Lepisosteus oculatus: one gene and its partner. Each later gene encodes a partner of the first gene's protein in a complex. Links are inferred from orthologs where the notes say so. Each region holds a gene or a part of one and is shown on either strand. Other genes may lie near its edges.

The links. Proteins that work in one complex are often made in the same cells at the same time.
Region 2: the proteins of profilin-2 (region 1) and vaspb are in contact, whole or in part, in a crystal structure (PDB 2V8C), measured with the Mus musculus proteins. The link is inferred for Lepisosteus oculatus from reciprocal best matches to the Homo sapiens genes PFN2 and VASP. Residues at the interface, in NP_062283.1 of Mus musculus: Gly3, Trp4, Ser6, Tyr7, Asn10, Cys13, Tyr30, Trp32, Met131, Tyr134, Ser138, Phe140; in NP_033525.2 of Mus musculus: Gly165, Pro166, Pro167, Pro168, Pro169, Pro170, Gly171, Pro172, Pro173, Pro174, Pro175, Pro176.

Annotation. Positions count from the first base shown.
Region 1 is NC_090708.1:2,496,197-2,503,963, forward strand, and holds the start of profilin-2, read right to left. Parts: upstream 3,085-7,767; 5' UTR 2,650-3,084; coding exon 2,521-2,649; intron 281-2,520; coding exon 88-280; intron 1-87. UniProt on the Homo sapiens protein: Binds to actin and affects the structure of the cytoskeleton. At high concentrations, profilin prevents the polymerization of actin, whereas it enhances it at low concentrations. By binding to PIP2, it inhibits the formation of IP3 and DG.
Region 2 is NC_090698.1:2,213,624-2,221,181, forward strand, and holds the start of vaspb (vasodilator-stimulated phosphoprotein), read left to right. Parts: upstream 1-4,558; 5' UTR 4,559-4,573; coding exon 4,574-4,779; intron 4,780-7,558. UniProt on the Homo sapiens protein: Ena/VASP proteins are actin-associated proteins involved in a range of processes dependent on cytoskeleton remodeling and cell polarity such as axon guidance, lamellipodial and filopodial dynamics, platelet activation and cell migration.

The DNA.
Region 1 (7,767 bases):
TGCATTTCAGAGAAATTTTGGAATAGTCAGTTTTAAACTTAGATCTACAATTTAAGAAGTTATTTTATATAAAAAGTAGTACATTACCTTTTCCGGCTCTGCCTACAGAAACATTATATGTTGGCTCTCCACCTTGACTCTTTGTCCTGATGTCCATTGTCCAGTCCCCTTCAACATGAAGACTGTCTCTGATCACAGAGCACTTCTTTGAACCTAAGGTCAGACCGCTGGTGAAGAAACCCTCTCGGTCTTTTCCAACTATCACATCAATTTCTTGGGGCTAGAAAGTACAAAAAAAAAAAGAACTAAGATTTTGTACATTTTAAGAAATGTCACCCACGTCAATGTTCCACGTCATCCTGCAAGTAAAAATTCAATTCTGAAGAACCTCACCGGACCCAGTCATATCTGAATTTAATCCTATGCCACCTAAACCTCCTCTACATGGAGAGATCAGCTGTTTCTAAATGCAGTGCAGGGGACAAACTGCTGAGAACACCATCGTTTTCCCACCCCCATCACGTTCGCAAGAGCAACCCCTAGTGCGTCATGAAACCCACCACAGTGGCAGGTCATCCAAAGAATAAAGAGGTGCCCCCCCCCAGGAAAAAACCGTCTGGAGATGCGGCACAGCAGTCCCAGCCCAGCGAAAGCACACAGAGCGAGGCAGCCCTGCTCTGCCGAGGGCGTCACGCTTTGTGCCTGGAAGAGCAGAGCCGGACCCCTCCGGCCCAGAGCCCGCACGACCCGGACTGACCGGCCTCGCCTGGAGGGAGGCGACGTCACGCCAGGCGACGGCATTTTTAAGCTGCCGAGATTTTTTTTTTCTAAAAAAAGGGAGTTCCACGGTAAAAAAAAAAACCACACACACAAAAAAAAAGACAGCAGTGCATCAGTTTCCTGCACGGCGGTGTCACACGGGGGGTCCGTGTGCAAGTGGGCTCGACTCGGCCCGGGGACCTGCGGGCTGCCGTCACGCCGCGGCCGCAGTCCAGAAGGTTCCTTGCGCGTCCGCGTTCAGACGTGGGGGGGTGGGTGGGGAATGAATATGAAGGTTGCGGGCTGGTTTGCGAGCCGGGTTTTTTTATTTAATCACCCCCAACCCCCACCCCTGCCGGAGGAAAGCGACCCGTGTGAGAGAAGGCGTCGCCCTCCAGTAGAACTGCACAGTCATGGCAGGCCCGGCCATCACCCCCTCCCTCCTCCTCCTCCCTGTCTCCGTGTCCGCTCCACTCGCACAAACCCCGCGACCACAGCCACTCAGGCGAAGGCGATGACTTTGAGGGCCGCTGTCATGAGATCCGAGCGGGGGGTGGTGGTGGTGGTGGTGGTGATGATGATGATGGGGGGAGAATCTCGACTCTTAAGATCATCATGCATCATTTAAAACCGGCATCCAGATCCGCAATCCGCGCTAGAGCTTTTTTTTTTCCTGGAGTGGTGGGGGTCGGGGGGGGGGGGGGGGGGGGACATTTTGCATGTCAACAAGCCACAAACCCAAGGGGTGGAAAGATGGGACCCGTCGCCATGTGGGAGCGCCCACCCCAGGAGCGGCCGAGCTCGGAAACCGCCGGCTGGAAATAAAAGCCGCCGCGACACGTTGCGCCGCGACCGGGCAGGGGCGAAACGCGGCGGCGGCGGCACCGGACCGCAGAAAACCTCCATCCACCCGTACAAAATGGAGGATATCTCGCCTTCTCACTCGTCTTACAAAAGGTGCTGCCCCATTTTGTCCCCCTCCTCCTCCTCCCAAAAAACAAACAAACTGGACGCTTCGCGGCTGCAAAACAAGCCGCCCGAACGAGACGACAGCAGCTTTTTAAAAAAAAAAAAAAACACCTCCAACACCGCATTGTTGGACATAATGCGGCGAGTTGCCGTGCAAGGAGTCCGAGCTGTTGGGATGAATAAAAAAAAAAAACCCCAGCGCGGGGAGGCGCCATCTTGGGCAGCACGAAGGAGGCGGCAGCGGCGGCGCGGCCGGGATTCTCGAAGCCCCGGTACGCACTGTCCCCACCGCAGCCGCCCCGCTCGCCCGGCCGGGTTACGTCAGAAACGTGGCGTAACTTTCTCCGAATCTGGACGGCCGGCCTGATTTCATCGTCTTCTCTCTCTCTCGGCCCCCCCCCGCCCGCAACGCACCACCACTGCCTTTCCCGCATTGCCGGTCGCAGACACCCGTACATTTAAGTGCTGGGGGGGGAATCCCCCCCCCCCAGAAAACAGACGAAGCCCCCTCCTCCTCCTCCTCCTCTCCCACACCGCACGTTTTGAAGCGACCCACGCGTGGAAATAAAGAGGGCAGCGGGGGCTGTTATCCCGTCCGTCGCCCCTCCCTCCTCCTCCTCCTCCCCCCGTGGAAGTTCCCCTGGAATAAAGATCTAACGGGCCCCCAGCGCCGGGCCTCGGCCTGCGGCTCCCCGGACAACAGGCCCGCCCGGCCCGGGCCTGCTCCTCGGACAGACCGGCCGATCCCCGGGCTGCCCTGACGCCCCCCTCCCTCCTCTCCCGGGCCCTTACCGTCATGCTGTGGAAAGTCCCGCCGGCCGACGCGGCCCAGACGTACTTGGCGTCCGTGTAACCGACGATGGCGGAGTCCTGGCAGCTGCCGTCAGCCATCAAATTATCCACGTAGCTCTGCCAGGACATGCTTGCGTCTCTCTCTCTCTCTCGATCTCTCCCCCTCTGGAACACGACCGGCGGTTAAAGACGGCAGGAGCGCTGAAGAAGACGGGCGCTGGGGGAGGAGGGAGCCGGGAGGTAAGGGGGGAAGAGAGAACCCAGCCGGGGAAGGATGCTGTCTTCTGCTGCTGCTGCTGAGGGGGGATCTGGCCGCGTTTGAACGCCTCGCTGCGGTGTCGGGTGCGTTTGGAAGAAGAGGAGGAGGAGGAGGAGGAGGAGAAGAAGGAGCCGCAGGACTGGGGGGGAGGATGTCTGAAGTCGAAAGCGTGTCTCCAGCGGCAGCCACAGCCCGGCGCTCCGTCTCGTGCCCCGCTCGGATCTGAGCTCGCGCTGCGCGGCGGCGCCGAGTAACATTCGGGCAGCGCGAGCGGGGTGTAGTCCCTCCGCCAGATCACTCCGCGCGGCTGCGCTGCGGCCCGGCCCGCCTCGCCTCGCCTCGCCCGTAGCAGAGCCTGGCGGAGGGATCAAGCAGGAGGAGGAGGAGGGGGGGGGGAGGAAAAAAGGGCCGGCTGAGGAGGAGGAGGGGGAGCCGCAAAAGTCCGGGTGGGGAACAGTCAGGATCGTGACTGAACTTCACCTTCCCTTGCCGGACGTGGTCGGGTTCGGACCCGGTCCGGGAGATTTCTATGTTGTTGTGGAGGAGGAGGGGAATAAAATAAAAAAAAAAACGTTTTGCAGTTTTTGGAGGTTTCATGTTTTTTTTTGGCAAGCGGGAGGTTTCCAAGTTGCCCCGTTTAATAATCCAATCTGATATTTAAAAGCGGTGGGTAGTCATTCTGATGAAGGGGAAAGCGGCTCGTCTGCTAAGCTCTTGCACACACACACCAGCGCAGAGCACCCGAATTGCCCCTCTGTAAAATCAACTTTGGGTCGTTCTTCTAATCTAAATCTTTCATGCAGAGCCTAACCCCAACACAATTCGTTGATATAGATGATAAGGATTGTATGGCTACTTTTCCATTATCAGAAGTTCGGCAGGAAGGTTTAATTGGACCTTAATTGTACCTAACGCTATGAAAATCTGTTTACACGCGAAGTTTAGGTAACACAATCACGGTCAGTGCAGGGTGCCCAAATTAAATATTGCAAATCAATCAAGTACTGAGGGAGCATTTGTGTTTGACAAAGTAATAGAGGGGTTTCAGGATAAACTATTTCAGGATAATTTAATTTAAATATTTAATAACATAATTTTATTTCAGGGTAAACTTATTTTTGTGTAGAAACCGTTCCCTGGAACCGGCCGGTCTCCACAGCTCTGTGAAAGACATCCACCACCATCCAGACCTTCAACAGCAGGGGCCCCCAGCCCAGTCAATCCCAGTCCAGTCCCGTCCTGTCCAGCCCAGTCCACTCCAGTCTGGTCCAGTCCACTCTAGTCCAGTCAAGCACAGTCCAGTCCAGTCCTTTTAAATGCAGTCCAGTTTAGTTTAGACTGGTCCACTCCAGTGCAGTCCACTCCAGTCTAGTGTCATCTAGAGTCTAGTGTACTCTAGTCCACTCCAGTCCGTCAAAATCCAGTCTTGTCCACCCCAGCCAAGTCCTCATCCGTCCAATCCACTCCAGTCTAGTGTACTCTAGTCCAGTCCAGTACAGAACTTGAACTTTATTGCCATATGTAACTGGTACATAAACTGGTACAATGGAATTCTTACTTACAGAAAGTCTCTCGATTGTAAAACAGGTGTAAAAACACAAAGTGCAGACAGTGCATCAAGACAATAGACAAACAGTGGACAATGTACAAGTCAACATGTAGACAGCTTGAATGTGTACAATACAGCCCAGCTCAGCTCAACCCACTCCAGACCCTTCCAACCTAATCCAGTCCAGTCCAATCCAGGCCCCAGGGACCTCTGTTCCAGCTTCCAGCTCCAGCTCTATGTCACCCTTAAATAATCAACTGCTAAAGACTTGGAACAATTTCATTGTGACCAATTAAGAAAATGATTTGTTTAAATTAAGACACTGAAGAGACCAATTGGGATTAAAATCTGGGTGCCCTTCGGATGCCAATTATTGGAGATCTCTAAATTGAATGGATTATTGCTTAGGTGATCGATAACTCACAGGTGTTCCCCACCTTTAGAAACCGGTGACCACAGGGTGGCTATTGGTCGTGAAAGATGGGATCGGAGTGGAGTAACCCATTTGCCTGCCCCTCAGAAATGTGCAGAACCCATAGCCACACCATGACTAGAGCAGATCACCTCTCTGACGCTTGGGTGATCCCCCCCTTTGCACTGAAACCGGCCTAGTTTGAGGGTGATCTCGTATTTCTGTACTTCTAAAGGTGCTGCCACATTAACTCCACACCTCTAACCAAAATTCATAACTGTTTTTAAAGGACGGGGAACTCTCCTGCAATACTGACGTGAAAGCCGGCTGGGTGGTGTTAATAATCATCGTGACAGCAGAGAAGCCAACCAGCCTTGGTGGCGCATCTTTAGGCTCTGGAGGGAAACAGAGGCATCTAGAGAAAGCCCACACAGATGTAAGGAGATCGTGCAAACTCCACATGACTCCACAAACCTAAAAATAAACAGAGTTTAACGACAGGAAATTGATTCCAGTTGTCAGATCACGTAGACACATACCTTAGCTTTGTGCAACAACCTGAAACTTTCAGGTACCATAAATAATATTATTGCTAAACATATGCCATTCTAATCTGCAAGAGAATATAGAATACGAATTTTTGTATAAAAATGCATTAAGTCCTGTTCTACACCTGCATGCTTTGGAAGCACTGGCCTACCTGTATACAAAATAAACAGAAGGATTCCAGGCCTGAACAGAAGCCAGAAGTCAAAAGATGTGATAAAAAAGCTACACGATTAAAACACCATAAGATGCAGAAAAAGTTTGTTTCTGGGTACCTAAACCTTGCACTGATTTTTATAAACCCTCTTGACAAACATCTCTTCGGACAAACACAACCGATGTCCAGACATAACAATGATATAATTCATATAATAGAATCTGATATAATAAAATGACCGATCAGGAGCATAGTCTTGCTGTATGCAGAATCACCCTGAGAAATGCCTTGCCTCGTACTGACCTGAGGCACCGTGTGATGGCAAAATCATTTTTAATACATTTACTAGGAGCGTTACCCCTGTTTCAGGCTGATATTCCAGGGAAGGACCCAGCTCAATCCAAGCACGAAACGTTGACTAAGTTCCCATCAGTTGCTGTATGGGCATGGGGCATCTCCTGACACTGTTTACAGCGATTACTGTCTTAGCTTTCTCCTGTTCAAAGCACTACAACCCGTGTAGACATATTCCCACAGGACAAAAGTTTGGAATATTTCCTTTTTTAGAAAAAACATACTTTTTTAATTTAGAAGCTATGGGATAGACGATGAAAAAAGAAGTGTTTTAAATTGAGCTGATTGAAATAAGCCAACCCTGCAAAGCGCTGTGTGTTAATAGATACTGGGGTGTTGCTACAGTAGCACTGGATTGTCACTGGGGGAGGTATTTTCCTCATTTAATCTTCACACTTTTGACCCTCCCCTGCCTTATTTCTTGTAGGTTGTATGTCTGCGTCCACATATTGCTGATCTTACATTGCTTCCTCAGTTGTCTCAATGTAAGAGACGGTCCAGGCTTTTAAAAGCAGACAGTAAGTCAATCTTTGGGAAGAACATCTTAAAAGGTGCCTGTAAGTCTCAAGGTGAATCACAGGGATAGTCGCATTCCCTAACTCCTCTGGGAAGAGAACTTCACAGTCGGAGATGATGGACCAGCTGCCAGTGTCAGCCACCGGCCACGGTCCAGCATCAGCAGAACTCTGCACTGAGACAAAAGCTGAGAGACATTAGGGACAGACAGGACACACACTGTCCCTCAAACACACTGGGGTTTTGTTTGTGTTGCCCTTGCCTTTTAATTCCCCTGAGGCCATTTAGAGTTCTCAATTTCCTGTGGACCACAGGCCCCACCATCACACACTACAGGTATGTCAAAGATTTCTGCCCTGAATGAAGTCCAAACCTGTTTACCCACTGGCCACCAGTGAGGGCCGGACACAGGACTTTTCACCCCGCAGGGAAACCACAATCTCGAACCCGATCCCCGGCACAGCCCTGGCCTTCGGTCTCCCCCGCTGCGATGTGTCGGTCAAGCATCGTCACCGGCCCCTGCGGGCCGGTCAGGGGTTGGACTGCAGCAGCAGCTGTGTGGGGGCGTGTCGCTCTAGAGGCAGGTAAAGGCAGGGAGAGGGGGCACAGGGTCATGACCGCGGGCTTGGATGAGAACTAGAGTTCTCAAGTGCTGCCTGCGCCCGTATCAAGACCAAAGTGTAACACTGTTTTAGAGCTCACCGCAATGCACAGTTTCTCCAGTCGGAGAATTCATATTTATAGGAGGTATACCTTCTCTGTAGCTCTCCATAAAGAGCGATAAACTGAACAGATTTTAATTCAATAAGTGTTCTCCTTCGGCGAAACTGCAAAGCCGCCATCATTCCAGCCAGAACAATCCCACTCAAGGCCTCTTGGAAGCTGAACAGTCAATAGCCTATTTGAAGAGCCATTGAGAAGTAAAATGAAAAAGTTAAAATTGCATTAAAAGATCGTTCAAGATTGGCTTGCCTCTCAAAAATGCGGGACTTGAAGTTTAAATACAGTTTGACTGCTGTGATCTATAAAGAAAACACACAGCCTGCCAATCTTAGTAAGATTTCTTTTCAGACAAAAAGAGAGATTACATCAGGTGTGTATTACAGTGGGACATTTTTTCTTCCTCTAGAAGAGAATTTTGAGATTCAGCAAAAGAAAAGAACACAGCTACAAATGGAAGTGGAAACTTACAAATGAGAAGTTTAGTAGCCCTTACTTCCCTTTCGTGAAAGAAAATCGACAGTATGGGCTTCGGCAATCGTGGCTGGCTAGCTTGTTCCATACTCCCACAACCCTTTGTGTAGAGAAGTGCCTCCAGCTCCCGGTTTGACATGCTCTTCCATGAGGGCTTCCTCCTTCCTAATTCCCACAGGGCACTCCTTCCTCCCTGGGTGGCTGGGACACAATTCCACATCCCGTGTCACATGAAGATAACCATCAGGACAGTAACCAGC
Region 2 (7,558 bases), on another chromosome or scaffold:
CCTGAAGGGCTCCTCATAGACAATTGGCAAAGATCCTCTGTCTGATCCGATGAGAAACAGACACTTCCAGTCCTTTTCATGTCTAAGTGTTCTACAGGGCCAGTAAAATAAGCCATTATTGGTTGGATCAAAGTCCAATAATGCAATGAGAGGAGCTGTGTGGCCCTACCAGCCCGTTAGCCAGTTGATTGATTCTAGGATCTCCTCCAGCTGTCTTTTGTAAGAAGGCAGGGTATCGGGCTTTAGCTACATGGTTGGCGAGCTTGTTCCCCACCCCCACCACCCATTGTGTAAAAGAGTTCTCAGTTTTAAATGCATTTCCCCTTGTGTCCCCTGGTTCGTGTTTCACCCTTGATTCTGAAGACGTCCGCTGGGTTGGGTTTGCCAGAGCCTTGAGGATTTTTGATTGCTTGTATCGGATCCCCTCGTAGCCTCCTCTGTTCAAGAGTTGTTTTGGGAGCCACGCCTCCCCAGCCTCCCGCCACACGGACAGAAGGCTCTTGAGGGAGCAGAGGAAGGCTGCCCGGTGTGTTCGGTGACATTTGAAGCGCCCCCTTGTGCCCGTGGAGCAGAACCGCCGGGCGTCGCGCTCTGCAGCAGAGTGGCCCAAGCCTGCCACGCCCACCTCCGCGCTCACCTGAGCGGGAGATCAGACTGGTACCGGAACCAGAGAGCCTAGTTCCATCTCTGCACCGTGTTGTTGTACGCAAGGCGTGCTGAGCTCCGCAGGTAACGAAGGAATAGAGAGGTTTATGGGGCAGAGAGGGAGAGTGTGAGTTGTGAGTTTACAGAGTGCAGCTCTTCTGCGAGTCCAGGGCGCAGCCCTGAATCTCTGCCATTTCCTGCATGCCTTGCATTGCTGGGTGCTGTGATTACTGGTAGCCTGGAGGAGGACAGTGAGCGTGCAGGGTCTTGTGGGGACTTGAAGGGATGAGGGTTTCTGGAGTGGAAGGAAACAGAGCCTGCGAAATCGCCGGACATGGGTGGACACCCCAGGAAAGAGCGCAGGACACCGGCACCCAAGCCCGGGCTTCGTGCTCTCCGGTCTCGCAAGAAACGGCTTCAAAGGTGGAAGCGCTGATCAGCAGTCCTCAGACGAGCCCTGTGCGACAGGAGCCTGCGGGAATATGAAATTGTGCTTCATCAACCCCCCTCCGCCAGGCCATTCGAGGAGGAGGGGCCGGAGCTCTGCTGCTCCTCTGCTGAGCTGTGGTTAGGCCTGTTGAGTGAAGAATTATTCGCACTGAATAATGAACTACAATGTGGCTCGTTAGAGTGGCGATGAACATTATTTAATGAAATGCAGTTCCCAGTTTTGCCTGTCAGGAGGGTCGTACAGTCCCCCTCCCCCTCACATCATGATGCACACATCAGTTTAGAACAGCATCACTTTGCATCCGCGACATGAACATGCATTTCTTTTCCATCAGCTGACGTACAGGGTTGGAAGGAGCATAACTCTTTGATCCGTTGTATTCAGGCTTTCATGTAGAGTGCTCTGTATGAGTGTTGTCATCGTCCTCTAAAAAAATGCATTGCTGCTCTGAAATCAGACCAGGAAGTAACGCTCGTATTCTTTGTGGGGCTTAAGGAAACATCCCACACGGACAGGCTGAAGGAGCTGAAGCTCTTTAGTCCTAAACACTGAAAGGGGTCTTCGTCCAAGTAATCGAAATCATCAAAGGCAACAAAGTCACTCAGTGGGCTTCTTCAGAATGAACGGTGAGACGCGGACCAGACGGCACAGGTTGAAACCACTTGGAAGTGCATTTAAAACAGGCACTTCTTTACACAAAGGCTTGTAGGAGCGTGGAACACGCTACTGTTCTTTAGCTCCACTCTGGTTTGTGTCTGTTCTTGGATGCCATACGTTTAAACTGGGCAGGTGCGGTGCGGGCCCTGTTCTGCGCCTGGTGTCGGGTGGTGGACAGGAGCGGTGCAGTTAATCTGCTGGAAAGGAGAACTGCCCTGCGGACCCGTCATTGTGTGAAAATGCGCCGGAGGAAGCGGCGTGCGGCGGGTTTGGAAGTTGCACCCTGGCTGCGCCACATCTGCACATCTCCCATCCAGAGCTGCTTACGAGTGCCGGCCCTTTGCGAATTTGCAGAGTAGCAGCAGGCGGAATGATGCAACTTCACCATCACACCCAAATTGATGCCTTTCGGGGTGTCCCTCTCTGCCCGTGCCCCCTGAGATCTCCCTGCGAGTGTTTTGGGGTTCCTTCAGAGGAGGAGTGGGGCGTGTGCACCTGACAGCTTCATGACACTGTTCCATTGAGTGGGGCCGTATCCAAGACCAAGCCTGTCCCGGGGCGAGCCGGTACCGTGACGGGCCGGTTCACCCTGCCGCCGTTCCTCGGTGTGAAGCCAAGCCCCCGCTGTCGCAGACAGAGCTACCGCTCCGTGCGGCTCGTGCTGACCAGACTCGCCTGCGCCGACCCTGGGGGGGAAGAGGAATTTGAGGAAGTCAAACCACAGTGCCTGGTTTTAGCAAACTGTGAATTTGCAGAAGCATCTTTCACAAGAGCCTGAGGATGTAGCTGAAGAAACAATGAGTGTGCGGAACAAACGAACGCAGTTTGTTCTACGTTCTCATTGTCCCCCCGTGAAAGCGGAGGACATTGTTTTCAGTGGTTCTTTTCCATCTGGTTGTGGATAACAATCAAGTTGCGTTCTGCGAAGTTTTGTCCGCTTCTGCAGACATCGGAGTGCGTGGTAGTGTTGCGCACCTGCAGCCCCGCTGGGGAGCTCAGGACATCGGCTTCACAAGAGATGGATCTCCGAATTGTTTCGCAGAGTCCCAAACTGGATTTGTGCTCCCTAAAGCACGTTACAGATCCAGAGAGAAAGTTTGTTGATTTCAAGAGCTGGCTGGCCGCATTTCATCAGGTTTATTCACACTCTCTTCACGCTGACAATCGCAGTAATGTGAAGTCTGATAAGTAACAGCCTGATTCGGTGTTCCCAGGGGTGTATGTGATAATACCGACGCTGGGATCACCTGTCCATTCGTGAGGCTGGTTATATATAGTGTGAAGGAGATGCTCGAGGAGGGAGCTGTGTCGGCGTGTGCCGGCTGCAGAGGAACAGGTCAAGGATTTCTCCCTGCTGAAAGGAAAAGACATGAGGAGAGACGCAACGTTTCGGATGTGGGGCCTTCTGCACACACCTGAAGAAGATCCACAGCCGAAACGTTTTCTCTTTTCCTTTCCTTTCTGCATGGAATAGACCTTTACCTGTTCCTCTGTGGGAAGGAGGTGAGCATCAGGCCAATGCACCAGAGGTCTTAAAGTTCTTGTTTTTTTCCTCCAAGGCCTTATCTCAGATCCCTTGTGAAAAAAGTGGCGGCGATCAGTTTATCTCGATGTGTGGAAGGCTCTCTCCGTTTCAGAACCCTCTCTCCTCCGCCACGCCCGCGCTTGTCGAAGGCCGTGAGTCGCCCGCAGCCCTAAGACACCGGCAGTGCTCCCAGAATGCAGGCTCCAGTCTGAAACGCCCTGTGGGGCTGGTGGAATGTGGAATTAACTCTTCGAGAGCTCAAAGCCAAGATGTGTCCTGGAGCCCAGACCACTATAATCTGTGTCCTGTGTCTCAAATCGCCCAAACACGTTTCAGGCGTATGTCACATATCTTGATAAATGATGTACCTTTGTGTGCGTTTCATTTCTGCAGTTAGTTGTGTATGGAGACCAGAGGGGCAGTCTTGCCTGTGCTTAGCTTGGGGTGTATTCTGAGGTGCCTGCGAGATTTGCACTTTTGCAGAGCTGCATATTAATGCTGCGTTTGTTCATTCTGTTACCGAAAGCTTACGCAGCTAATTATATAAGCCTGTTGTATATCTGGTATCGTCTACCACAGTCTCGCTTTAAGATGGTAAATGTATTAACAGCAGCTGTACTTGCACTCGTCTACTTTTTGACAGTTATGTTCGGGCCGACTTCAAAACTTTTTTTTTTTCATTTGTTAATATCAGTGGCTAGAGCAGTGTTCCTGTTTACCCTGACCACATCCCTCTCACTGTCAGTGTCCTCTGGACCGCATCGGGGGAGGCGAGGCCTGCAGGCTGCCGATAGGATAGCCCTAGTACAAGCACAGATAATTCACATGAAGGGTTTCTTGTTTTAAGGGAAAAAAGTTTGCAGTAAGTAAAAGCGCGAGACGCTCTGCCAAGCTGACGCAAGCCAGCTCAGCAGACTGCCAAACAACACTGAGCACAAAAAGGAGCAGGCACAAACACCCCAGACTGTGAGCCGAAGGCAGGCTGGTGATTGTAGGTTTTGAGCGGTTTGGTGGGGAGAGGAGAGGGCTGCAGTGGGAGGTGGGGCTGGAGACTCGGAGGGAGTGGAGGGGGGGGCAGGTAGAGCGGAGCGAGCCAGGGCTGGCAGGGAGACGGGGTGTGGGAGGGAGGAGAGGGGCAGGCGGGGCTGGGCCTGGGCCTGAAGAAGAGAGACGGGAGGCGCAGGTACAGAGAGCTCCTGAGGGAGCAGTCGCACAGGGGGAGAGACGGAGGGGGCGTGCCTTGTGGGGCATGACTCAGCCCGTCGGCGTGTCGCTGAGCACAGCCTTATACAGGCATGTCTGAGAGCGCCTGGCCGCAGTCTGTTTACTTCGCCCCAGCTGCACAGTTTCCTGTTAACTCCTGCCTGACCAGGCAACAGGGCTGCTTTCCCTCCTGGATCAGCAGCCATTTTGGCTCCTGTTTCCACCCAGGGTTTCGGGGTGCGGTGCCTTGGACTACGGCATCGTACAGAGGGGTTTGTCGATGGATCGTGCTCAGTAGGTGTGTCTGTGGTCCTGGCTTCTGGATTGCTAGCCTTTTGAGCCCATCGAGCACACGATCCTTTATTTTGAGAGCTCTGCTGATGTGTTTAACACAGCCCACTGGCCCCAGAGGTTTATGAGGAAATATGCCTGCCTTGAGCATTTCAGAAGCCTAATTTCCGGTAGGAAAAGGTCAGAGTGGTAAAGTGAAACTGTAGATTTCTGCGGTGAATGGTAGACTTTGCTGTTGGTAGGTGGGGAGTGGCAGTAGCTCCTGAAGGAGCAGGTAGTGATTGTCGGATGCGCTGTCTGCTCAGAGAGTCTGGGCCTAGCTGAGGCTCGGCGTGATCCATCATTTAATGCTCCTGCCGAAGAGCAATCTGAAGAGATTGAAAATGCATGCCAGCTCGCTCTCTTTCCGATTGTCTGAAACTCTCGCCTTGTCTCCGTCACACACACGCACGCCCCCCTCCGGGTCACAGACCCGTAGATTCCTCTTGGGGAGTGAGCCTGACCCTGTGCCCCTCCCCCTGAGCCAGCAACGTTAGCCTCTCCGGGACACGGGGGAGGGCAATTAAATGAACCCGGGCCCATGATTCCGTCAGGGTCTGAACGATCAGGTTCTGAATGAGCGGGACCCGGCGTGCCATCCCAGCAAACACTACAGGGCTGGGACCCGGAGCTGCGAGTGCTGTGTGGGCCGGTGCCGTTTACTGGTACAAGAACATCAAGAAGATGAGCAGAGGCCATTTGGCACAGAGGTCTGGCACATCTGGGCTGACTGAACCCAGATCTCATCTAGCTGGTTCTCGAATGTAGTCGAGGTATCAGCTTCAGCTACTTGGTTGGTCAGTTTGTTCCAGACTCCCACCACCCTGTGTGTAAAGAAGTGCCTCGCGTTGACAGGTTTGAATGCACTTCCCTGTAGTTTTCGCCTGGGCGCTCTGGTTCTGGAACTCCGGCCCACCTGCGCCTCCCGAGCTCCCCCCGCGCGCAGGGGGGTCTCCCAGCAGGGCGGCCCCGGCAGCGGGCGAGGCTGGCTTGGGGCCGCCCCCGCCGGCCAGCCGTGCTCGTGTGTGGGAGGGCCTGTGTTTTGCGCTCTGGGAAATGTTTGCATTGCAAATCTAGCCCCCCCGCGCCTCCCAGTTTTTTGCTTCCTCCCCTTGGCTTCAATTTTGACCTTTTCGCTCCTTCTACTGCGGCACTCCGGCCCTTCCGCTGGTTATTTCACTACTAGAAGCCGAGCCTTGTCCTCTCTTTCCGGATCCCTGTCCAGCAGTGGAGTTAGTCGGTAGAGGGCGTTCGTTCTAGTTTTGGACCTGAACTGCTTCGCTGGGGAGTCGAGAATGACTCGACAGCCGGGGCTCTCCAGGAACAGGGCTGCTTTAAGCCCTCGTTTTGCCGACATCTACAGTACGTGTATTTTTGGGGGTTCTGTCCGATGAAGAAGGCTGAATCGTACCCCTGGTAAGGGCAGCACCCTAGAATCTCAAGTTGGTCCGGGAGCTCATTGTGATCTGTTCAGTGCTGTCTTGCCAGAAACCACTCTTGTAGGCAGGGAATGCTTCTCATTTTTTCCAGATTCCCTGGCGTCTTCAGTAGGATAACCAGATAAAATAACAAGCACGTCAGGACTTTTTACTTAATTTGATTTGCTGTTAAACTCGGGGCAACTTGGCACAGGCGATAGAAGACCTTGAAGCAGTGGGGATACGAATAACATTCAGCACTGAGCAGACCTCTGCATGGTACCCAGACATTTAGGAATTGGCATGCTTAACGAGAGCAGGAAAAGCCAGTCAACAAAAGACCATCTTTGCAATCGATTGACACTGTAGACACTCCTGCAGGACAGGCTGGAGCTTTGTGCTCCAGCTCAGCAGCTCACTCTTCTTTCGGTTGAATCCCTCCGATTTACCTGCGCTGGATCACAAACAAATTAAATATTAACGCGATCTGTTCCTTTTCTCTATTTGGATTAATATCCATGTGTGTCGGGGTGCGTTTTAGAGCTTAACAGTTAATGATTAATGAATATTAAAATACAAAACGGGTCATAGTAGGGCCAGCACGATCCTTTCCATCAGGAGAATGAAGTAATAAATAAGAGAAGACTGCTCGTCCCGTTGAGCTCGTCAGTAGCTGATTGATCCAAGGGTCTCTTGCAGATGATTCCAGACAGAAGCCAGGCTGTTGGCTTCAACAGCGTGACTGTATACCTTGTTCCACACTCCCACGACCCTTTGTGTAAAGTAGTGCCTCCTTTGCTTGGGTTTAAAAGCACTCTCATGGGGTTTCCCTTTGTGCCCTCTGGTGCGTGTTTTGTTGTTATTGCTGCAGGAGTCTGCTAGATTGACCTGGTCACTGAGGTCCCCTTGTAGTCTTCTGTGTTCAGGAGTGAAAAGGTTCAGTTTCTCCCGTGTGTCTGTGTAGACCACTCCCTCAACCCCTGGAATGGAGCCGATGATCCTTCTCTGGACAGATTCCAGAGCAGCAATACCTCCTCTCTAACGCAGTGACCAGCATTGTACATGCGCTTCTGAACAAGGCCTTCCTGCTGTCACACTGTGCAGGGCCGGAGGGGGGAGGGTGCAGGTTGTTCAAAATGATTTTTTCTTTCATTTTTGGGGGGCGAGAGAGCTAGAAGGCTTCACACCACATCCCCAGTGTGGCAACACTTGGGCTAATTCGGCCATCTGCGTGTTTCTTCATCGTCAAAAAAACCCTGATCCAAAACAAACAAACTGGGCAGTCGGCCAGAACAAGTCAGTCTGCGCCGAGCCTCAGACAGCCCTTCA